Linked DNA regions of Callithrix jacchus. The protein of the gene in region 1 interacts with the protein of each later gene in a biochemical or structural test. Links are inferred from orthologs where the notes say so. Each region holds a gene or a part of one and is shown on either strand. Other genes may lie near its edges. The genes, in order: CASP3, HCLS1, PANX1, GSN, CDKN1A and PTGES3.

Evidence for each region.
Region 2: of the proteins of CASP3 (region 1) and HCLS1, one has a biochemical effect on the other in vitro, tested with the Homo sapiens proteins (2 studies listed by BioGRID). The link is inferred for Callithrix jacchus from reciprocal best matches to the Homo sapiens genes CASP3 and HCLS1.
Region 3: of the proteins of CASP3 (region 1) and PANX1, one has a biochemical effect on the other in vitro, tested with the Homo sapiens proteins (2 studies listed by IntAct). The link is inferred for Callithrix jacchus from reciprocal best matches to the Homo sapiens genes CASP3 and PANX1.
Region 4: of the proteins of CASP3 (region 1) and GSN, one has a biochemical effect on the other in vitro, tested with the Homo sapiens proteins (2 studies listed by BioGRID). The link is inferred for Callithrix jacchus from reciprocal best matches to the Homo sapiens genes CASP3 and GSN.
Region 5: of the proteins of CASP3 (region 1) and CDKN1A, one has a biochemical effect on the other in vitro, tested with the Homo sapiens proteins (3 studies listed by BioGRID). The link is inferred for Callithrix jacchus from reciprocal best matches to the Homo sapiens genes CASP3 and CDKN1A.
Region 6: of the proteins of CASP3 (region 1) and PTGES3, one has a biochemical effect on the other in vitro, tested with the Homo sapiens proteins (2 studies listed by BioGRID and IntAct). The link is inferred for Callithrix jacchus from reciprocal best matches to the Homo sapiens genes CASP3 and PTGES3.

What each region holds. Positions count from the first base shown.
Region 1 is NC_133504.1:6,758,516-6,761,130, reverse strand, and holds part of CASP3 (caspase-3), read right to left. Parts: intron 2,399-2,615; coding exon 2,223-2,398; intron 1,932-2,222; coding exon 1,811-1,931; intron 1-1,810. UniProt on the Homo sapiens protein: Thiol protease that acts as a major effector caspase involved in the execution phase of apoptosis. Following cleavage and activation by initiator caspases (CASP8, CASP9 and/or CASP10), mediates execution of apoptosis by catalyzing cleavage of many proteins.
Region 2 is NC_133516.1:81,347,644-81,351,143, forward strand, and holds part of HCLS1 (hematopoietic lineage cell-specific protein), read left to right. Parts: intron 1-64; coding exon 65-175; intron 176-2,017; coding exon 2,018-2,072; intron 2,073-3,500. UniProt on the Homo sapiens protein: Substrate of the antigen receptor-coupled tyrosine kinase. Plays a role in antigen receptor signaling for both clonal expansion and deletion in lymphoid cells. May also be involved in the regulation of gene expression.
Region 3 is NC_133511.1:46,208,690-46,212,878, forward strand, and holds the start of PANX1 (pannexin-1), read right to left. Parts: upstream 2,801-4,189; 5' UTR 2,356-2,800; coding exon 2,175-2,355; intron 1-2,174. UniProt on the Homo sapiens protein: Ion channel involved in a variety of physiological functions such as blood pressure regulation, apoptotic cell clearance and oogenesis.
Region 4 is NC_133502.1:169,699,613-169,703,737, reverse strand, and holds the start of GSN (gelsolin), read right to left. Parts: upstream 2,801-4,125; 5' UTR 2,770-2,800; coding exon 2,626-2,769; intron 2,577-2,625; exon of another isoform or gene 2,530-2,576; coding exon of another isoform or gene 2,506-2,529; intron 653-2,505; coding exon 448-652; intron 1-447. UniProt on the Homo sapiens protein: Calcium-regulated, actin-modulating protein that binds to the plus (or barbed) ends of actin monomers or filaments, preventing monomer exchange (end-blocking or capping).
Region 5 is NC_133505.1:44,985,176-44,988,310, reverse strand, and holds part of CDKN1A (cyclin-dependent kinase inhibitor 1), read right to left. Parts: intron 671-3,135; coding exon of another isoform or gene 666-670; coding exon 239-665; intron 1-238. UniProt on the Homo sapiens protein: Plays an important role in controlling cell cycle progression and DNA damage-induced G2 arrest. Involved in p53/TP53 mediated inhibition of cellular proliferation in response to DNA damage.
Region 6 is NC_133510.1:62,968,856-62,972,925, forward strand, and holds the start of PTGES3 (prostaglandin E synthase 3), read left to right. Parts: upstream 1-1,270; 5' UTR 1,271-1,565; coding exon of another isoform or gene 1,566-1,567; 5' UTR 1,568-2,296; coding exon 2,297-2,310; intron 2,311-4,070. UniProt on the Homo sapiens protein: Cytosolic prostaglandin synthase that catalyzes the oxidoreduction of prostaglandin endoperoxide H2 (PGH2) to prostaglandin E2 (PGE2).

The DNA.
Region 1 (2,615 bases):
TCTATAAAGAGGATTATAAGTAACAGTGTTCCGATCACATTTCACCTGATTTTAATACTGACTTAGCCAAGAAATAAATTGCTTTGAGTGTCCTATTTGTCTACAGAGCATCTGAATAAAGTATAATACACATATTCCAAAGGTCCAAAAAGGGAAAAGAGTGTATTTATCATACTTTTCTTTTTCAGGTTAACTGTTGGACCCATTGCTTTTAACTTAGAGGTACTTTGCTGAGGAAGAGGCCTAGGGGATAGAGGAAACCACACTGTGCACATATTAAAATGCGACACTGCATAAAAATACATTTAGTTGGCTGGGCACGGTGGCTCATGCCTGTAATCCCAGCACTTTGGAAGGCCGAGGCAAGCAGATCACCTTAGGTCAGAAGTTCGAGACCAGCCTGACCAACATGGAAAAACCCCACCTCTACTAAAAATACAAAATTAGCCAGGTGTGGTGGCACATGCCTGTAATCCCAGTTAGTAAGGAGGCTGAGGCAGGAGAATTGCTTGAACCCAGGAGGCAGAGGTTGCAGTGATATGAGATAGCGGCATTGCACTCCGGCCAGGGCAAGAAGAGCAAAACTCCGTTTCAGAAAACAAAACAAAACAAAACATTTCCCATTTCCTTCAGGTGTCACGCCCTCTGGCACCCTGAGTAGTTGTATAAGTAAATGGTGGCATAATCAACAAATATTTCTTTTTTTTTGAGGAGTTTCGCTCTTGTTACCCAGGCTGGAGTGCAATGGCGCGATCTCGGCTCACTGCAACCTCCGCCTCCTGGGTTCAGGCAATTCTCCTGCCTCAGCCTCCCGAGTAGCTGGGATTACAGGCACGCGCTACCATGCCCAGCTCATTTTTTTTGTATTTTTAGTAGAGACGGGGTTTCACCATGTTGACCAGGATGGCCTCGATCTCTTGACCTCTTGATCCACCCGCCTCAGCCTCCCAAAGTGCTGGGATTACAGGCTTGAGCCCCTGCGCCTGGCCCTCAACAAATATTTCTTTAGATGACGACAGGTACAGCAGAACTGTAAACAGTGGAGATTAGCAGCATATTCATATGTCATTTCTTACCTTCTTTGTTATCTCCCACTCCACATCTATCCTCTCATATACTAGTCATGTTTATCTTTTTTATTTACTACCTTTCAAATAATTCCTGAGAAACATACTTCTCTTCTTCTTTAAAATGCAGGGAAGCTCTGTTTTGGCCTCTGTTGCCATGTAATATTCTACCTGGTAAAAAGTCCAATGAATGACATTGCTCTAGTCTACTCTATGTATGCATATTTTCTTTTCTTTTTTGAGAAGGAGCCTCGCTCTGTCACCCAGGCTGGAGTGCAGTGGCACGATGTTGGCTCACTGCAACCTCTACCTCCCAGGTTCAAGTGTTTCTCCTGCCTCAGCCTCCCGAGTAGCTGGGATTACAGGCACGCGCCACCACACTCTGCTACATTTTTTATATTATTAGTAGAGACAGGGTTTCACATTGTTGGTCAGGCTGGTTTTGAACTCTTGACCTCAAGTGATCCACCCGCCTTGGCCTCCCAAAGCAGTAGAATTACAGGCATGAGCCACTGCACCCAGCTATTTATGCATATTTTCTAGCCAAACTTTTGGCTAAAGACAACTTTTGGAGACTTCTCTTTGATGAAGGTACCCTAAAATATAGACAAGTTTGTATCTTTAGGGATATCAAAATCTTGACAGTCTCTGAAACACACTCTTCACTGTATAATTTTATGATTAGTCACAGTAAAATTCATTTGAAATCCACATGTAACATTCATTATGTGCAAGGTTCTCACCAGGTGCTGTGGAGTATGCATACAAGAAGTCGGCCTCCACTGGTATTTTATGACACGCCATGTCATCATCAACACCGCTGTCCGTCTCAATGCCACAGTCCAGTTCTGTGCCACGGCAGGCCTGGGCATTAGAAAATAAATATTTATTATAAAAATTTGTGTGTGCACATATAACTTATTTCTAAGAAATTGAAACACTATGTAAAAATGGATGTTAATTATGTTGTCTTTTTGATATGTAAGTATAAAATTAAAATTTACTCCGTATCTTTTAAGTGGTAGTTTAAGTAAATGAAAAGTAACGATAGTTTCTTAGCTTCAGGAAAAAAACCACACATCCTTTGGCTAATTTACAATTGAGAAAATTAGCCCCTGATTAATCTTCAATCACCAAATCACTCAGTTACGTTACCTGAATAATGAAAAGTTTGGGTTTTCCAGTTAGACTTCTACAACAATCCCCTCTGAAAAAGCTTGTTATTTTTTTCAGGTCAACAGGTCCATTGGTTCCAAAAATTATTCCTTCTTCACCATGGCTCAGAAGCACACAAACGAAACTGCTCCTTTTGCTGTGATCTTCTTTAGAAACTGAAAAGACATTTGCACATAAAAGGAAAAAAATCCATGACTTCATTCAACAACTTCAGATATACTGTATGGGAACATGATGAAGAGACAGAGTAAAACTAAGAGATCATCTTAACCGAACCTGGGCTCAGCAACGTATCTGAAACTATTTTAGGAAGTGGGCATAAGTAACTTTTTTAAAACTTCTTACTAAAATAGGTAAGATTAGAATTATGTA
Region 2 (3,500 bases), on another chromosome or scaffold:
GAATGTATTTATTTTTTACGGTCATTTTTATCATTTCACTTAGTCCATCCTTGATTTTTCTCAGAGTGCAGTGGGCCATGAGTACATTGCTGAGGTGGAGAAGCACTCTTCTCAGACGGATGCTGCCAAAGGCTTTGGGGGCAAGTACGGAGTTGAGAGGGACAGAGCAGACAAGGTAAGTGACAACTCTGTCTCCCCGCCGCCCACCTCAAGTCATGTAAAACTTGCTCACACTCACCCCTGGATGTTGGCCCATGCTTCTTTGTTGAAAGACAGCAGTGGATGCAGTGAGGACCTGACACCATTACAGGGATACCTCCCTCAGCAAGTTCCTTGGTGTCAATGTTGGAAACCATACATTGAGCTGAAAGACAGTGATTCAAATGAGGAGAAGACTCCAAACTGTCTGTTTGAATAAGGAATTCCTCAAGCGCCTGGTTTTTATTATACTCATATGCATGAAGATAAAACAGAGAATCAGAAAAACTCTTCTTTTGGCTTAACATCAAAACCTTATAAATACTCATGCCTTTTAGGAAAACAGAGTCGTTAGTTTAAATGTTATTACGAGGGCAGCAAATAATCAAGTTAAACAACTATTTAGGGTTACAGTTTTTTAGAAAGTAACAGTTACTATTTACAGGACTTAGCATCAATATCCAAAGTCCGGGTATCTTTAAAGACTCCTTTGTACAAAACAAAACAAAATGTTGTTTTAAAGAGAAAAAAAAGTACAGTATCATTATAGCAGCATATTGTTGACAGGAGAGTAAGATTGATAACTCATTGATGTGTTTAGTTCCATGCCTCATTAGGTCAGATTCTTTGAACTTATTTTTCATGGTGCAGAATGGTGTCTCCTCCCTTGCAGCTGCACACAGAGGGAGGACATCTTCTTCACAGCTAGCTGAGATGTTTTCTTTTTTTTTTTTTAAACCAGCAGTTGTTATGAATCCTTAAAGCTAAGTTCTAGAACACTAATTGTTTGCATCATGGGGGGAAAAACCATGAAAAACAAAACCAGGAAAGTTTAAAACATACTATAAAGCCAAGGGAAGATGTAGAAGGAAAATTTTAAAGGCAATAGTGGAATATGGAGCATGCAATGTTCTAGAATCAGGATGGAATTCCCTGTTCCATCTTGGTCCCCTCCTGCCTGACTTTGCATAATCTCTGATTCTTACATCTTTTGCTCACAAGCCACAAATGGAATCATCCAGTCAGTGTGTCATGTAAATCAAGAAACAATACATGCTAATGAGTTCTTAAGATGCAAAAACCCAGACTTGCTTAGAGACCCATAGTTCCTGAGCCAGATGGAGAACAAAGCTCCAAAACTCTGTGGTAATGTTAGGTATCTGGGCAACATGTCCAGTCCCGGAGCCAGCTAGAATCCAGACTCTCCAGGTTGCAGTTATCCCACCAAAATCCACATATTTGTGTTTCCATTATTGAGTAATGAAAGAGAAGAGGCACAGCGTTATCAACTGAGAATAGAATAATGTCTCTTCATGAGCAGAGTGCTTTCTACTTTACAAGGCAATTTTCTAGGTATTACCTTTCAGTTTTGTGAGGATTCGTTAGGAAGAAAAGCACTAAGTTAGTGAATGAACCTAAGTAGACACTTTACCTTGTCCCATTTAGTTCTCATGATATCCCAAATGAAGAGGGATCATTTTTCTCACTTTATAGTCAAGTTAGAGAAGGCAGGCATGCCTCTCCTCATTTTATATGAAAAGAGATTGGGGCTTAGTAATATAAAGGAACATGCCTAAATTTCAACAACTATAAATAGGGGATGTAGGGTTTGAACCTAAAACTATCTGTGTCCAGGGCCCACGTTCACTGCTCTGTAGTAGCCTGTGTCCACATCAGCCTGTTCCTACATTAAACATCCATACTCAGCCTCAAGACCCTACAAACTACCTCTGGGGCTGGGCTGGGAGTAAGGACAGGTCAGGGAGGGGAAAACCTGTTGGCTCTGACTCTAACCAATTCTCTCTCCTCCTCTCTGTAGTCAGCAGTCGGCTTTGACTATAAAGGAGAAGTGGAGAAGCACACATCTCAGAAAGGCAAGGAACTGTACTTCACTCAGTCTCAGCAATCTGACTGGCAGGCTCTTCTGCTAAGACTTTATCTTCCAGCAGTTGTCATCAGCTTTTTTAATCCTGTGACCCAGCTCACCACTATTTTATTTACTTTTGTTTGTTTCTTTGTTTTTGAGACAGGGTCTTGTGCTGTCACCCAGGTGGGAGTGCAGTGGCATGATCACCGGTCACTGCAGCTTCGACTTCCTGGCCTCAAGCAATCCTCCTACCTTAGCGTTCTGAGTAGCTGTGACTACAGGTGTGCACCACCATGCCTGGCTAATTTTTTTTTTTCTTTGTAGAGATGGAGTCTCACTATGTTGCCCAGGCGGCCTCATTTCACGTGATCCTCCCCTCTTGCCCTCTCAAAGTGCTGGGATTACAGGCATGAGCCACCGCATCCAGCACTATTTTATATACTTTTTAATCCCAGTCTATACTTGCTTCTCTTTTTCTCCATTATTGCTTTCTATAATATTAAGTTTTTGAATCCCTCTTTTTCCTCTAATGGATTGAAAATAAGGTATTCTATTCCTTTTAGAAAGTTATTCCTAAATTTTAACATGCATCTTTGACTTAAATTTAAAATTAATCACAATCTTGGCCGGGTGCGGTGGCTCACACCTGTAATTCCAGTACTTTGGGAGGCCAAGACAGGCGCACCACCTGAGGTTGGGAGTTCAAGGATAGCCTGACCAACATGGAGAAACCCCGTCTCTACTAAAAATAAAAAATTAGGTGGGCGTGGTGGTGCATGCCTGTAATCCTAGCTACTTGGGAGGCTGAGGCAGGAGAATTGCTTGAACCCTGGAGACAGAGGTTGCAGTGAGCCGAGATTGCACCATTGCACTCCAGCCTGGGCAACAAGAGTGAAACTTGATCTCAAAAAAAAAAAAAAAAAAAAATTAATCACAATCTCTTCCTGAGTATATAAGATACATAGAATATTTTAACTACATTTCTTTTATCAAACCATATTGTTGTTGTTCAGTATATTGGTTCCATCTTATAAACCCCACAAAAATGAATCATTATTATTACTTAGTAAGTGTTTATTTAAATTGACCAAGGTATTTACCTATTTTCTAGCTCACCATTGCTTATTGTATTTCTTTGTTTCATCTTTGCATCTTCTATTTTCTTCTTGCTAAAATATATCCATTAATAAGCCTTTTAATGAGTCTATGTAAGGACTTTCAGTCTTTGAAAAATGTCTTTATTTTGCATTATTCTTATTGTTATATTCCCATCATCACTTTAAAGATAATATTTCATTGTCTCTGAGATCTCTCTTGTGTCAGACTATCTTTCCTGTGTAAGTAACATGGTCTTATCTCTGTTTTTTTTTAAATTAAAGATTTTCTTTTGATTTCTGATATTCCACATTATTATTAGGGCATGTCTAGGTGTTAG
Region 3 (4,189 bases), on another chromosome or scaffold:
CAATGCAACATGTCCTCCCTTGGAACTCCTGAAAACCCTTCAGAAAACATGGGACTCTGCTCGATAGCGCCTCACCCAAGTGCCTGCCAACCTTCACCAGGCCGGAGCTCATAGCTCAATACCTGTTTGGGTGCTGAATTACACACAGCTGAACAATGTTACCTGCTAACAGATATGTTCTAGTGCCCCAACTGCATAGTAAACTGCCACAGGCCAGAGGGAGGGCAGGGCGAGAACAAGGTCTCAAAACCCTTTCCCGTCTTCCTCAGCACACAACAGTGCTATGCACACAGCATGAGCTCACACCCTTGCTAGGTAAAACCACCCCTAATCACCCAAAATTACCTCTCAGGCAGCCCACCAATTTAGATGTATCTTAAGGCATTACAGGTGCAGGTTCCTTAGGGATCCCTCTAGTACATGCACTAGAGGTGGAGACTGGTCACAGAGGGCGATCAACTCCTCCTTCCTGCCTTTCTGTTCCAACCAGGGACCCAAGACTCGCACCTCCAAGACAGGGTCCAGGCCTCTTTTACTCCCAGGTCCTTGGAGGTCAGCACTTAGTTCAGCACACAGCCAGAACTCAATGAGGAGTTGACTGAAGGGAGAGATTATCTCCAGGACACACGCTATTTGGTGGTTTTCCTTTCAGCTGGAAGCCTCAATTCACTGTCAAATGGGAAGCGAATGAAAATCTCAATGACTATGCCTATGCAAAGAGCAGGAAAACTAGAAACTAACTTTCCACGATGAACTTGGCAGCTTCCTGCCAAACTGAACAACTTAGTGCTGCAGATTGCACAATCACACTCGTCGTCACTCTTTCCTAACCAACTCTTCCCTCAACTTCACTATTCCCATCACCCTCAACACCACACTCCACTCACCCAGATATACAGCCTTCACAGCAAGTTTGACCAGTACTGCCCTTCATGGCCTATTACAAACTAGGTACTCACGTGCTGCTTATTTACTCCTTGATCTTACAGCAATCACCCATCCATTTTCTTCCATTCACACCATCTGTGCACAAGACTTCAACAGACTTCTTGCTTTAAGGCACCTGGCCCTCCAGGTCCCATCCTCTCCTCCTTCCCAAACCCTATATGCCACCAACAGGCTAGTATTTACGTAATGCTATTGTTTTCAACCACTCTGTCCTCTGCTCAAACAATAAACTTCACAGTTCTGAAACCATCAATCTATACTCTTCTATTCCAGGCTGACCCAGGCCCATATTCACTCTCAGATCCCAGGAACTCTTGACTTATCCTCCTGCCGGCTAGGACAGTCACTGTGTCTCTCTTTCCAGGAACATATAACATTATCTGCCATCTCAAAACCTTAACAAAGGTCTTACTCCTGCTTAGCCAAATCCCACCCACCCTCTGACAAAAGTTTCCCCAAAGTCCAGCCACACTAGGCAGTTCCCCCGCCACAGAACTGTATTTAACCCTCCTGCACTACCTTCCTGTTGATTCCTAAAACTCTCTCCTGTGTGAAAGTTAGAACAGCTGATGAGGAAGAGCAGCCACGAAGACTTTCCAATCTCAAACAACACCTATGAAGCTCACATGAGAATTTACAGGAAGGGGACTTGTTCATCTCACATTCATAAGACCGTCCAAATGAAGGATCCCTCTAATGCCTGCCAAGTGCAAATATTTCCTATTATTCACAGCCCTGCAGAGCTATCTCAGCAAATACCAATTAAATATAAGACAGTGAAAGAACACACTTCTCATGAAACAGCGTTCTTCACATTCTCCATGTGGCCACTCAGGAACTTCTCTGGTACAATATTTTAGGCGGCTGGACAGGTATGTAGGAGACAGGGAAGAAAAGAGGGGACACGGCTATTCTTGGCAAATCTGGTGGCAAGGTGCTAGTTTTAAAGGTGGGACATGAACTGTAAGCCACAGTCCCATCAGTGGGTCTCAGGGAACAAGAAAACTGAGGAGTAGGGATGAAAGCTGGGTAGACAAGAGTACCAATGAAACACCTGAGCAAAGAACACTTTGGACTATAAAACCGGGGCCACTATCCTACCTGACATTTACGACCATCACAGTTGGGCGTGCCCAGACTTGGGCCTATGAGCCGTAAAATCGTAAGATCACAGCTCACTCGGCCAGACCCAGACGGCCCTCCCCTCCGACCTGGGCGAAGCTTACCAATCGAGATCTCCTGGGCGAAGGCCAGGGAGATGAGCAGCAGGGGCAGCCCCACGGCGATACACGTGACCATCTTGTCCACGGCCAGCTCCAGTCGCAGCCCCTTGAACTTGGGCTCGGTGGGCTCCTTCAGCAAGAAATCCGAGAATACGTACTCCGTGGCCAGGTGGGCGATGGCCATGGCTGCGGCGCGCCGGGGTCAGCCAGGCAGGTCCAGATACCGCTGGCGTCTGGCGAGCTCCGCGGCGCCTTCACCCCGTCACCGGCCTGGGGCGCGGCTTTCGCTTTCCCTTTGCCCACTCCCCGGCTGCGCCCAAATCCCGCCTGCCTTTGTGTCTCAGCGCCTCCGGGTCGCAGGGACTCTGCTGGGCTCTCGCGCTTGCTGCCTCCGCGGCCGGCGGGGCGGGGACCTGGGCGCGGCGATTCCCGCCGTCCCACCAAGCGCGCTCAGCCCGTGCAAGTCCCCGGGGATGCGCGGCACTCGGATGCGAGCTCTCCAGCGAGCCCGCAGGCGCTTGAACCTCCGGCCCGGCCCCTCCGCGCCGCCCAGACTATAGCGGACTCCTGGCCAGCCGTGCTCTCTCCGCCAGCGGCTGCGGGCTCTTCCGGAACCATCCGGGGAAACCGAGTACCCAGAGGCGTGGAGTTTCCGGAAGACGCGGTGACGCGAGGCGGGGTGGGCGCGGCTGCATCCGCGCCCCTCGGGCCCACCCTCTGACGCAGGGATTTTCCAACAGAATGAACCGGCAACCAAGAGAATGGGAAAACATTTTTGCAATCTACCTATCTGACAAAGGGCTAACATCCAGAATCTACAAAGAACTAAAACATATATGCAATAATAAAACCAACAACCCATCCAAAAGTGGGAGAAGGATATGAACACTTTTCAAAAGAAGACATATATGAGGCTAACAAACATTTGAAAAAATGCTCATCATAACGGATTATTAGAGAAATGCAAATCAAAACCACATTGAGATACCACCTCAAGCCAGTTAGAATGGCGATCATCAAAAAATCTGGACAAAACAGATACTGAAGAGGATGTGGAGGAATAGGAATGCTTTTACACTGTTGGTGGGAGTGTAAACTAGTTCAACCATTGTGGAAGACAGTGTGGCGATTCCTCAAGGACCTAGAAATAGAAATTCCATTTGACCCAGCAATCCCATTATTGGATATATATCCAAAGGATTATAAATCATTGTATTATAAAGACACATGCACAAGTAAGTTCATTATAGCACTGTTTACAATAACAAAGACTTGGAACCAACTCAAATGCCCATCAATGATAGACTGGACAGAGAAAATGTGGAATATTATGCAGCCATCAAAAATGATGAGTTCGTTTCCTTTGTAGGGACATGGATGAACCTGGAAACCATCATTCTCAGCAAACTGACACAAGAACAGAAAATCAAACACCGCATGTTCTCACTCATAGGTGGGTGTTGAACAATGAGAACACATGGACACAGGGAGGGGAGCATCACACATCTGTCGGGGGGAAATAGGGGAGGGACAGTGCGGGGTGGGGAGTTGGGGAGAGATAGCATGGGGAGAAATGCCAGATATAGGTGATGGGGAGGAAGGCAGCACATCACACTGCCATGTGTGTACCTATGCAACAATCTTGCATGTTCTACACATGTACCCCGAAATCTAAAATGCAATTTAAAAAATTGGAAAAAAAAAGAAAGACAGGAGGAAATGCTCTGACCAGTGTCCATGGAAATTAAGGCTATTGAGGTGGAAATAATTTGACTGATTGGAAGGTAAATGTGAGGACCCACCCAAGAAGACTTACCAACAAAGTTGGATATGTTTCAAAGTTTATTAAACGTTGGAAGGCTTTTATAAGAAAGTTTAGGAGAAGGGAGGAGGACCCCTCATATCACAGTTGGGTTTTCAGAGGGTATAGTACAGAGGTTACAGTCACAGGCTGCAGATGACAACACACAGGCTAAAATGCTTTGTGCACAAGAAAATCAAAGTTCATATGATTCAGA
Region 4 (4,125 bases), on another chromosome or scaffold:
TGGGTAGGACTTATAGCATCACACAGCAGAGGTGTGGCGGGGACTCAGGGCTCCTGACTCCGAAGGGCAAACTAGGAAGTGCCTGGAGCTGGCCCAGGGAGGTTATGGAGGGGTCCAGGGTCTCCAATTGACCCACAGTTCTCAGTGCCATAGTAAAGTGTTTAACCCTCGCAACATTCCTGTGAGGTAGTGCAGAGCTATCATCATGTTCACTCCACAGGGACATCGAGTGACTTGCCAAAGGGCAGAGGCAGACCAAGGGTTGGAGCAGAGTAGGGGTGTGAACTCGACCATGCTGGCTCTAGAGTCTAGGGGCATGAACCACTAGCCAAGAGCCTGGCGCATACTGGTTTCTCAATAATAAGTTCCCTTCCTGGGGACCACGCCTCAAAGATCTGCACTGTTCAGAATGGGGGCTGGGGCAGGGCTGGGCAGGGCCAGCCTTACCCAGCCAGTAGTGGAGGTCATACTGCAGATTCCCGTTCCTCAGCTGCACTGTCTTCAGGATGACGTATGCATCGCCCGTGAAGAAGTCTCCGTAAAGGTTGGTGGGCACAGGCACCAGATCGAACTTCTCCACACGCCAGATCTGCAGGCCGGGCTCCTTCCCTGCCTTGAGGAACTCGGGGTGTTCCACCACCATGCTGCTGGGCTGGGAAGAGACAGGGCAGAGCTTGAGCAGGGGCATGGGTCCTAGCAGGGAGGGACCCCAGGCATGAGGGAGGGTGGTTTCTAGCACCAAGAGCATCTCACTTGAGCCTCCTGCTCTCCCAATGCCGCAGGCAAGCCTATCCCCTTCTGAATGCCCTGTCTCAATGAGTCAGCAAACAGGGCAAGAGTTTTATGCCTCAAATCCTGCGCCACAGCCAGCATCTATCTCTCCTACTCAACCTGCCATCGGCTTTTTCTGGTGATGGGGGGCACAGAGGGCTCTACTTCCCTGTTCCCTTCTTTTCTTTTCTTTCTTTTTTTTTTTTTTTTTTTTGAGACAGAGTCTCACTGTGTCACCCAGGCTGGAGTGCAGTGGCTTGATCTCGGCTCACTGCCACCTCCGCCTCCTGGGTTTAAACCATTTTCCTGCCTCAGCCTCCCAAGTAGCTGGGATTACAGGCATGCACCACTACGCCTGGCTAATTTTGTAGTTTTAGTAGAGGTGGGGTTTCACCATGTTGGTCAGGCTGGTCTTGAATTCCTCAGGTGATCCACCCACCTTGGCCTCCCAAAGTGCTGGGATTACAGGCGCGAGCCACCACACCCAGCCTCCCTTCTTTTCTTATTGCCAATTGATGTGATAATCAAGGCACAGAGAGGTGATGGGACTCTGCCAGGGACCTCCAGCTAGGAAACAGTGTAGCAGGGATTGCCCCAGGTTCCAAGATCATAAGCTCTGGGACTATGGGTAGACCCCTCAGATGGCAATAGTAAATCTAGGGGTTCTTAGGGTCTCAGCTTGCTCCCTTCCAGCATCTTCAATGGCTATCACAACTAAAAGGCTCTCTGAGAGCTCATTATCTGAACCCAATCTGCAGATAGAGAAACTGAGGCTCAAAGAGGGGAGGGGACTGACCCAAGGTCACACAGCCTGTTTGCTTTTGCTCTTTGGAAGTGGAAAGATTTCCAGCACAGGGCCTGGCATACAGCAGGCGCTAACTCTGTGCATGTTAAATGGGTGCATTTGCAAACTTCAGTGAGCCCAGCTGAGCCTCCTGTGGCCTACAGGAGCCCCCTCTCCTCTCTGCACCCATCCCTATCATACCCTCAAGAAGGGTCCAAATGGCTGAGCCCAAGTGGCCTCCTGCGCTGTCTGCCTCCTCCCTCCTGCCCTGCAATGTCCCACCCGCAAATTTCATTTCTTGGAAGAAGTGAAGAGGATGCACCGGGGTCTGCAGGAGGCTGTTGGAGATGAGGTGGTTAAGGATGAAGAGGCGGTTAGACATGCACTGGGGCTGGGGCTGGGGCTGGGGCAGACGCAGGAGGGTTAGGCTGGAGTCAAGGACAAAAATCAGCAGGTGCAGGTCACCTCTGGCCGGAGAAGAGATCTGGTGGGAGTAAAAGTCAGAGGGGGAAAGTCAGAGAAACCAGGCGGGGGGAACTCAGGCAGAAGGGTGAAAAAACACAAGGGAAACAGGAGAGAGGAGGTGAAACCAGACGAGACAGGGAAGACAGCAGAAAGGAGAGAAGAAATAATAGTAATGACCATAAGCAGACAGAGGTGAGGTCATACAAGAAAGAAGGAAATACTGGAGAGGGAGAGAGAGCAAATGCGAACAAGGAATCGGAAAGGGAAGAAGACATCGGAAGAGAAAGGAAAGAAGTGACACAGACAGAAGAAATCAGAGAAGGAAAAGGAGAAATCAGGAGGCAGGAGGTAAGATGTCAGACGGGGACAGAGGAAAAGAAATCCGGCCAAGGCGAGGTTAGCCTCCTGGGAGGGAGCAGCCAGAGCCCCGAGGCTCCCACCCTCATCTGCGAGCCAGAGCCCCGGAAGCAGCAAGAGATACTTACAAAGCAACAAAACAGTTTTTCCATTCTAGACCTGAATTACTCCCCTTTTCCTAGCGCTGTATCTGCAAGAACTTACAATAGAGAATTACTCCGGGAGCCCCGGGCCCCCCGGGCACTCACCCGCACCTGGGGCGCCTGCACCCGGGGCGCCCGGGCCTGGGACGCCCCCCGCGACGCAGTGGCCGCACGGATGGGCCGCGACAGCGCGCACAGCGCCAGGACCAGTGCGCAGAGCAGCGCGGGCGCGGGGCGGTGCGGAGCCATGGTGGCGACAGCTGCAGAGGACCCAGTCGGCAGCTGCGTTCTTGGGTCGCCGACCTTAAGTAGCCGCCCGCCCAGCCCGCCCAAGCCGGGGACCGCCCCGCAGGGAGGGCGCGGGGCGGGGATCTGTCCCGAATCTTGAAGACATCTGGGTTCCCACCGGCATCAACCCGACAGGGCGCGGCAGCCCCTACACCCCAGCTCCGGGGCGGAGACTCAGCACCAGCACCGGGCCTAGCATATAGCAGGCAGTGGCTCTGTGAACGCTAAATGGTCGCACGCACGAACCACGGCGAGCCCCGCTGAGCCTCCTGTGACCCACGCGAGCCCCCCTCCTCTCCTCCGCACCTAACACCTCCAGGAAAAAAATAACATGACCTAACAATTTTTGAAAGCTTTTCACTGAGGCATCAGCACACCCTTTTCAGAGGGGACAATGGCCAACCCATTTTACAGAGGATGGAACAGCACAGAGTGGTGAAGCAACTTCCACACAGCTACTAAAAGGTGCTGTCCTGGTATTTGAACTCAGGCAGTGCGGGCCTGGGAGAACCCCCACCAGGGAGCATGCACCGCAGCAGGGCAGGGGACCCAGCTCCCTTGGGCAAGTGAAGCCAGCAGGACTCAGAGGGGCGGGGCAGAACGCTCAGCTCCTGGGATGCCCCCTCCTACTTTTCCCAAGACGGCCTTTCTGTCCTTTTTAAAAAGTTTTTGTTTTTTAGGGCCGGGTGGTGGCTCATGCCTATGATCCCAGCACTTTGGGAGGCCGAGGTGGGTGGATCACAAGGTCAAGATATCGAGACCATCCTGGTCAACAAGGTGAAACCCTCTCTACTAAAAATACAAAAATTAGATGGGCATGGTGGCGCTCGCCTCTAGTCCCAGCTACTCGGGAGGCTGAGGCAGGAGAATTGCTTGAACCCAGGAGGCGGAGGTTGCAGTGAGCCGAGACCGCCCCATTGCACTCCAGCCTGGGTAACAAGAGTGAAACTCCGTCTCAAAAAAAAAAAAAGTTTTTGTTTTTTAAAAGTCTTACTTCGATTAAAACATAAAGTCAAGTATTTGTACACAGTTGTTCCCCCACTCCATCCCATTTACCTCTCCCCAGGGGCAACCACTGCTATCTACCTCTTTTAGCTGATGGTTCAGAGTTTACCTTCAGTCTCTAAACAAGCCCTTGTTACTTCTTGAAATTGTTTTATTTTGTTTCCCTTTTAGGTACTATTCATTGACTCTGCAGTGGGAGGAGAGTTTGCATTTCCTCCTCATTCCCAAGCTCCCTTCCCATCCCTCCACTCTCCCTCTAGAGTTATTGGGTTAGGGAAAGTGCTATCCAAACTGGAGGAGGCCTGCTTCCCA
Region 5 (3,135 bases), on another chromosome or scaffold:
ACATTGCATAAGGACTAAATAAATCTACCTTAGAAGCCTGGCAAAAGGCCTGGCATAATATAAGGTCCCCACCAATGTTAGCTAGTTGGTCTTGGCTGCCTACTTGCTGTGTGACCTCTGGGTCTGTTCCCTTCTACCTAAGGAGCACACTAGACCAGGACCGGACAGGTCAGCCCTTGGACCATGGACTCTGAGAATCCTGGTCCCTTACAATGTCCTTCCCTGCACCTGTCCTCACCTGTCATGCTGGTCTGCCGCCGTTTTCGACCCTCAGAGTCTCCAGGTCCACCTGGGGACTCCTCAGGCCGCTCCCCTGAGTGAGGCATTAGGGTGCAAGACAGCGACAGGTCCACGTGGTCTTCCTCCGCTGTCCCCTGCAGCAGAGCAGGCGAGGTGCCAGGCCGCCTGCCTCCTCCCAGGGGCCCTTTGGGAAGGCAGATCTTGGGCAGGCCAAGGCCCCACACACGCTCCCAGGCGAAGTCACCCTCCAGTGGTGTCTCAGTGACAAAGTCGAAGTTCCATCGCTCACGGGCCTCCTTGATGCAGCCTGCCATCAGTGCATCACAGTCGCGTCTCAGCTGCTCGCTGTCCACTGGGCCGAAGAGGCAGCGGCGGGCCTTGCTGCTGGATGGGTTCGGACGGACATCCCCAGCCTGTTCTGACATGGTGCCTGCAGCAGAGACACAAGGAAGGCCCTGGTCACCGCGGAAACTGGACACTACACTACCTGGCTGGGCTTTGCTGTGCCACCTCATGAGGTCTTCCTACCACAGGGTCTCTCTGACTCCTTCCAGCTGGTCTTCCTGCCTCCATCTCACAGGAGGCCTGACCCCCACCAGCAGAGCTCAGCCAGCCTGTCACCCCAAGGTCACTGGGGGAGCAGGCAGCTGAAGGGCAAGCTAATGTCAACAAAGTCAAGTTTATTGCAAAAGCGAGGATCAGGGTCCTGTTTACCACCAGGTATTATCAGCTAAAATCAATTTGTTTTCCCCCCGAGGTGTCCCTCATGGGTGTGAATGCCCCCAAATACGTGTGAATTGCCAGAGTCCAGCAGTTTCTGAATCCCAGCCCTGGCCAGGAGGTCAGTTCCCAAATAAACAGTCTGACAGTTCCTCCAGCCTCCTGAACCCCCACCCAGATGCCCGAGTAGGGTAACCCTACTCAGCCGAGTAAAAGTACCCTGGACTCTGGGGCAAAAAGCACCTGGGTTGTGGTCCTAGCTCTGCCACTTACTACCTAAGTTTTAAAAAGCCACTTACTGTCTCTAGGTCTCAGTTTCCTCACCCATAAAGGGGGCCATGTGCAAGTTTAAAGAGCATGGCTGGGCTGGGCATGGTGGCTCACGCCTGTAATCCCAGCACTTTGGGAGGCCAAGGTGGGCGGATCACCTGAGGTCCAGAGTTTGAGATCAGCCTGACAAACATGGAGAAATGCCATCTCTACTAAAAATACAAAATAAGCTGGGTGTGGTGGCACATGCCTCTAATCCCAGCTACTCAGGAGGCTGAGCCAGGAGAATCTCTCAAATCCAGGAGGCGAAGGTTGTGGTGAGCCAAAATCGTGCCATTGCACTCCAGCCTCGGCAACAAGAGCAAAACTCTGTCTCAAAAAAAAAAAAAAAAAAGAGCATGGCTGTGGACACATACTCAAGCAATTGATTGGGGAGTCCACCCAGCAAGGCAGATGGAACAGAGCTGAATGAAAGGCTGTATCTTGGGGGCTAAGCGGAAAGGCTCTGGAGCCAGATCGCCTGGGTTGAAGTCCAGGTTTTACTAAATGACCCTGGACAAGCAACTTAACTTGTCTGAGCTCTATTTTCCTCATCTGTGAAATGGAGATAGTAATGGTGACTGTCTCAGAGGATAGATGTGAGGATTAACTGAGTTAATGTAGGTAAGGTGCCAGCAGCACTTCATATACAGAAGTGCTTGGAAAATGGAAGTGTGATTATTTCTGTCTGCCTTCAGTTTTACTGAGCCTCCTCCCTATCACTTCCCCCTGCCAATGATCCCCTTCAGACAGCAGCTGACAGGTGCTGTAGGCTGAAGCCCTTTCCCAAGGATGTCATCAGGCGGGTGGCCTAGGGGTAAGGAGGGGCTGGGCGGGGCTGGGCAGGGCGGGGCAGAAGATAATTTCTCCCAGGCTGAGCCACATCCTGCCAGGCACATCAGGTGATCTGAAGTCTAGACACCTGGCAGCCCCTGCCCGGTGCTGCCTGTGTCCAAGGAACTCGTTTTGCAGACAAAGAAAATTAAAGGTGGCTGATCTACCTGGCTCCTCTCCTCCCACTTCAGGAGAGGGAAAACCAAGGGTGAGTTTGCCAATGAGGGAGCCCTGGCACCTAGCTGCCCGCTCTGGCTTGACTCCAGGACTGAGGGACTGCACGACCTTGGCAGCAACTGGGTTTTCCTAGGGACAAGTCCCAACTTGCAGGCTCTAGGGGGTGAAATCTCTGCTGAGTGTTCCTGAGGCAGGAAGCCTGGGACACATGCCACATCTGCTCCATCCCACCTCACCCCACTGCTTGTGATCAGTTTCACGTCCCAGCTGGTTGGGAGAGGAGGTGCTTGGTAACCTCACACCAAGTTTAAAGGGCAGGAGATGGAAGAGATACGAGACTTGCCCCCAAGTCATACAGCTAAAAAGGCCAAAGGCCACTGCCCCATAAAGGAGTCACACAGTACAGTGGACAGAGCCCTCAAGGAACCTCTGTCTACCCTCTCCTAGGCATGAGTTGGGATTCATTTGTATATTTTCATGTATGGGGGCTGTTCTAAGCAGTTTAAAAATGTCAATCCTCTAAAAAGTGAATAGCTATTTGCTCCCTTTTTACAGCAGAGGTAACAAAGGCTCAGAGAAGTTAAGCAACTTGTCCAGTGTCACACAGTTCATAAATGGCAGAGTCAGGATCTGAACACAGGCCTGTTTGCCCTGAGTCCTGTGCTCTAGTATTGAACCTACTCCCTCTCTAATTTTGAGGTTTCTTAACCAGAGAGTCCCATCAGAATCAGTTGGGGAGGCCAGGGGCAGTGGCTCACACCTGTAATCTAATACTCTGGGAGGCTAAGGTGGGGGAATCATTTGAGCCCAGGGGTTCAAGACCAGCCTGAGCAACACAGAGAGACCCTATCTCTA
Region 6 (4,070 bases), on another chromosome or scaffold:
GATCCACCGCGCCCAGCTTCGTTTTGAGACAGGCTTTCACTCTGTCGCCCAGGTTGGAGTACAATGGCATGATCTGTGCTCACTGCAGCCTCCGCCTCCCGGGTTCGAGCTATCCTCCCACCTCATACTCCCTAGTTTTTGGCATTACAAGCGCATGCCACCATGCCTGGCTAATTAGTATTTTTGTAGAGATGGGGTTTCACTATGTTGGTCAGGCTGGTCTCGAACTCGTGACCTAGGGAACCACCCTCCTTGGCTTCGCAAAGTGCTGGGATTATAGGCGTGAGCCACTGCACCAGCCCAATTTCCCTCTTTAACGGTATCTGAGCTAGGATCCACGTTTCGTAGCTCCCCAATAATCTGCCTTGTACAGCAGACACTAAGCACCTTAATGCTTATTATGAAACCTCATTCTTCAGAAATATAGCACTTTCCTTAAACCTCCTTCCTGTTCAAAATGCAGTGCACTGGAGTATTTCTCCCCTACTCCACCATTAAGTAGCCTCTTGGTGAGCAGGGCTGTGTTGGGTCTCTCGGTTACTATGCCCTACTACACCCTAGTAGTGTGTTGTAGGAAGCGACGGGGAATCCCTTCTTCCCCAAATAATGTGCATGGAGACACAAAGTGTCTTAGCCTCTCCATTCCAGAAACCTAGACTCTCCCCTCAAATATCCTTCGTGGCTCATCTACAGTACTAAGGTCTCAAGACAGGGGCAAAAGCCAGCCCCGAATGGCAAACGCTCCTCCTCCGCCAAGAACCTCGAATGTCCGCTGTCCCTGGACAGAGCCTCCAACCTTCAGAAAAATGGTGAAGTGAGCCCTTTTCCACAGCACAGGCTTTTCACGTTTTTGTGGTGGAATGTTTCCTGCGTGAGCTGATTTACTCCCTCAAGAGTAACCAACGCTCCATTTCAATTCTCCACGATCCCGACTCCGCGTCCCTCCGCCTCGGCCTTTCCTCCCGCTGCCAACGCAGCGGTTTCTCAGAGAAATCGCCCAAAGAGCGTGGCCGGGCGGTTGGGCGGCCAACGGTTTTCTAACGCGAGAGGACACCGCGGGAGGAGAGGCGGGAACGCGTAAGGACTAGCGGGGGCCGGGGTGGGGGTAGGGTGGCGGACGAAGGGCGGGGCCGGCGCCAGGAAGGATCGCGAAGGAGCTGGGAGGCCCCGCCCTTTCCGTAGATATCTCTAGAAAGCCGCGCCGGAGCCCGAAAACAAGGACTGCGCACGCGCGGTGGCAAGGCCCGGGCATTTTGCTGCGTCACCAGCCGCCGCCCGGCCTCACCACCCCTCGTTCGCACGCACGCACGTTCATTCTCCGTCCTCGCGCCCGTTTTCCTACACTTTCCTCTTCTCCCCGACCGGAGGAGCCGCTCTTTCCGCGCGGTGCATTCTGGGGAGCTAGGTCGAGCCCGCCGCTGTCGCCGTCGCCTGAGGGAAGCGAGAAGAGGCCGCGACCGGGGAGAAAACGCGGAGTCGCCAGCGGAGAGAAGTCGACTCCTTAGCAGCAGCCGCCGCCAGAGAGGCCCGCCCACCCGTTCGCCCGTCCCCCTGCCCCGTTCACAATGTGAGTGCGACACCCCGCCGAGGGAAGGTCGCCCGGAGTGAGGCCAAGGCCGCGTCGGGGGCTCCGGGAATGCGGCCGCGGCCCTCCCTCCACTTTCGGCCCCCCCAGTCTTTCTCGCATCGGTGGTGGCAGTTGTGCCTGCCTGGGGGCGGGAGATCTAGTATCCTTGTTCCGGTTACCGTTGGCGAGTGGAGGACATTTTCCTCCAGATCTCCGCTTCCCCGTGCCGGAAATGCTACTTTTCCCCCTTTGGCCGTCTGGCCGACTCGCTTTCTGTAACTTCACCCTAGGCCTTGAGCTCCTGGTAGCTGCTCGCCATGCGGCGCCCTGAAGCGTGAACCCCCGCGGGTCGCTTCTCGGCCGCCTGGGCGCTCCAGTTCTGCTCCGTGGTCCCGGGGCCAGGCCCTGGGCCGAGCGCACCTGTAGTGGGTGTCGCCAGGTACCTGGCGGAGCTCCTGGGAGAGCCCCACGCGGACCTCGCCGTGAGCTGCATGGTACTGCTAGGTAACTGGAGGGAAGCCATGCCCACGCCGCAACTTACTTCCCTCTCCTGTGTCTGGGTTTCTTGAGTGTGGGTACTTCTAGGCCGCCTCCTAACTCCCAGTCTGTTCAAAACACGGGAGGTTGCCGGAGCTCAGCCGCTTCCCTGGCAGTGAGGAGTTACCGTTGAGCAGGTAGTTGGGCACGTGTCGACTTTGGAAGAATACCTACGGACATTTTCAGTGTTCCATGTTAAACTTTAGGTGAGGTTTCACTATCCTGCCTCAGTGTAGGATGAAGTAGATATGTAATTAACTTACTGTTGTCCTAAAAAGCTTAAATTTGATGGTGTGTAGGTGAATACAAGTTCTATAGCAATCTTCGTTTTATGGTAAAGGAAAGCCTTAATTGATTTTAACCGAATAAGAATTCATGGCACTGCCACATCCAGTGAGGGCTCCTGGTTTTACAGGGTTTGGTTTTGTTTTTTTTTTTTGACGGGACGTTATTTTTTAAGTTATTAGCTAAGTCTTAAAAGATACTGAGAACAATTGAAGGGGAGCGTTCCCCCGCCCACACTCCATTTAGGAGAGATGAGGGGAGTAACTTTATTCCTGCGGAAAAGTAACAAACATTCAAGGGTTTACTTAATTCAAGCCATGATACTGACAGTGAATATATTGGCTAAAAGTCTAAAGGGATGAGTGAGGGGTACACTGAAGCCAGTTTGTCGCTGAGAACAAGCTTCTAGAGCACAGCGTGTATTACTGTAAGGGCGTAAATTAGAATTTTGGAGGAGCCCCCTCCCTGAAAGTGGTACGTAAACGGGGTTTTTACAAATTCGAATCTATGTAAAGTAGTTTTTGCTTTTCCTTCTAGGTAATGTAAAAGGGACTTCAGTCTTAACCTTTTATACTCTGAAAACCTGTAAGGGGAAAATTGTCAGATGAGGTGTTAGCAACTTTTAATACAGCTGAACGTATCTTTTCGCGAAAAATACGTTTAAAATTGGCTTGAGGTAGGAGCACTTTCTGGAGGCCACGTAAGATATTTAAATAGGTAAGAAATGGCTAAGTTAAGTAGATTTTAAAACTTGAAAGAAAAGTCAATGTAAGTCAGGGTGCAGTGGCTCACACCTGTCCTGCACTTTGGGAGGGTCAGGCGGTGGGATCAGGAGTTCGAGACCAGCCTCGTCAATACTGTGAAACCCCGTCTCTACTAAAAATACAAAAACTAGTCGGGCATGGTGGTGCTCACCTGTAATCCCGGCTGGTCTGGCGGCTCAGGCAGGAGAATCGCCTTAACTCTGGAGGTGGAGGTTGCAGTGAGCCAAGATTATTGAGCCATTGCACTCCATCCTGGACGATAGAGGGAGACTCCGTCTCAAAATGTAGCAGTAGAGAGGCTATTCCAAAAAGTAGCCTCTCTGGTTAAAAAAAAAAAAAAAAAGCTACTTTCAAAACAAGTGATCCGATGCCACATGCAGGGTGTTGAGGGAAAAGATGAATGTTTTGAAAGAGACCAGCTAATTTCATCCTTTTAAAAATATTCAGTATGTGTCATTTGGTATATTCTTCAGGGACTCTTACCAAGTTAAAGATTTAAGTGAAATTACAAAATGAATGTTGTAAGTCGGTTGTTTGAGGTGGAAGAATCCTTTACTGGGTCGTCATCCAGTCCTAGGAAGAATCTGGCTGATGCGGGTTTATTTATTTATTTATTTATTTTGAGTCAGGGTCTTTCTCTATCGCCCAGCCTAGAGTGCAGTGGCGTGATCTCAGCTCACAGCAACCTCCACTTCACCTCCCGAGCTCAAGCAATCCTCCTTGCCTCAGTCTCCTGAGTAGCTAGGACTGCAGGCAAGCACCACCATGCCTGGCTAATAAAACCTTTTTTTTTTCTTTAAAGATCTGGAGAGAGATTATGCTGGGTGCATTAAGGGCTTGGGAGAGTGTTTTCTCAGTTGATTTACTCATTTGCTCTTTAGCGATTTCCTAGTTACATTTCTTTACATCCTAAGTTA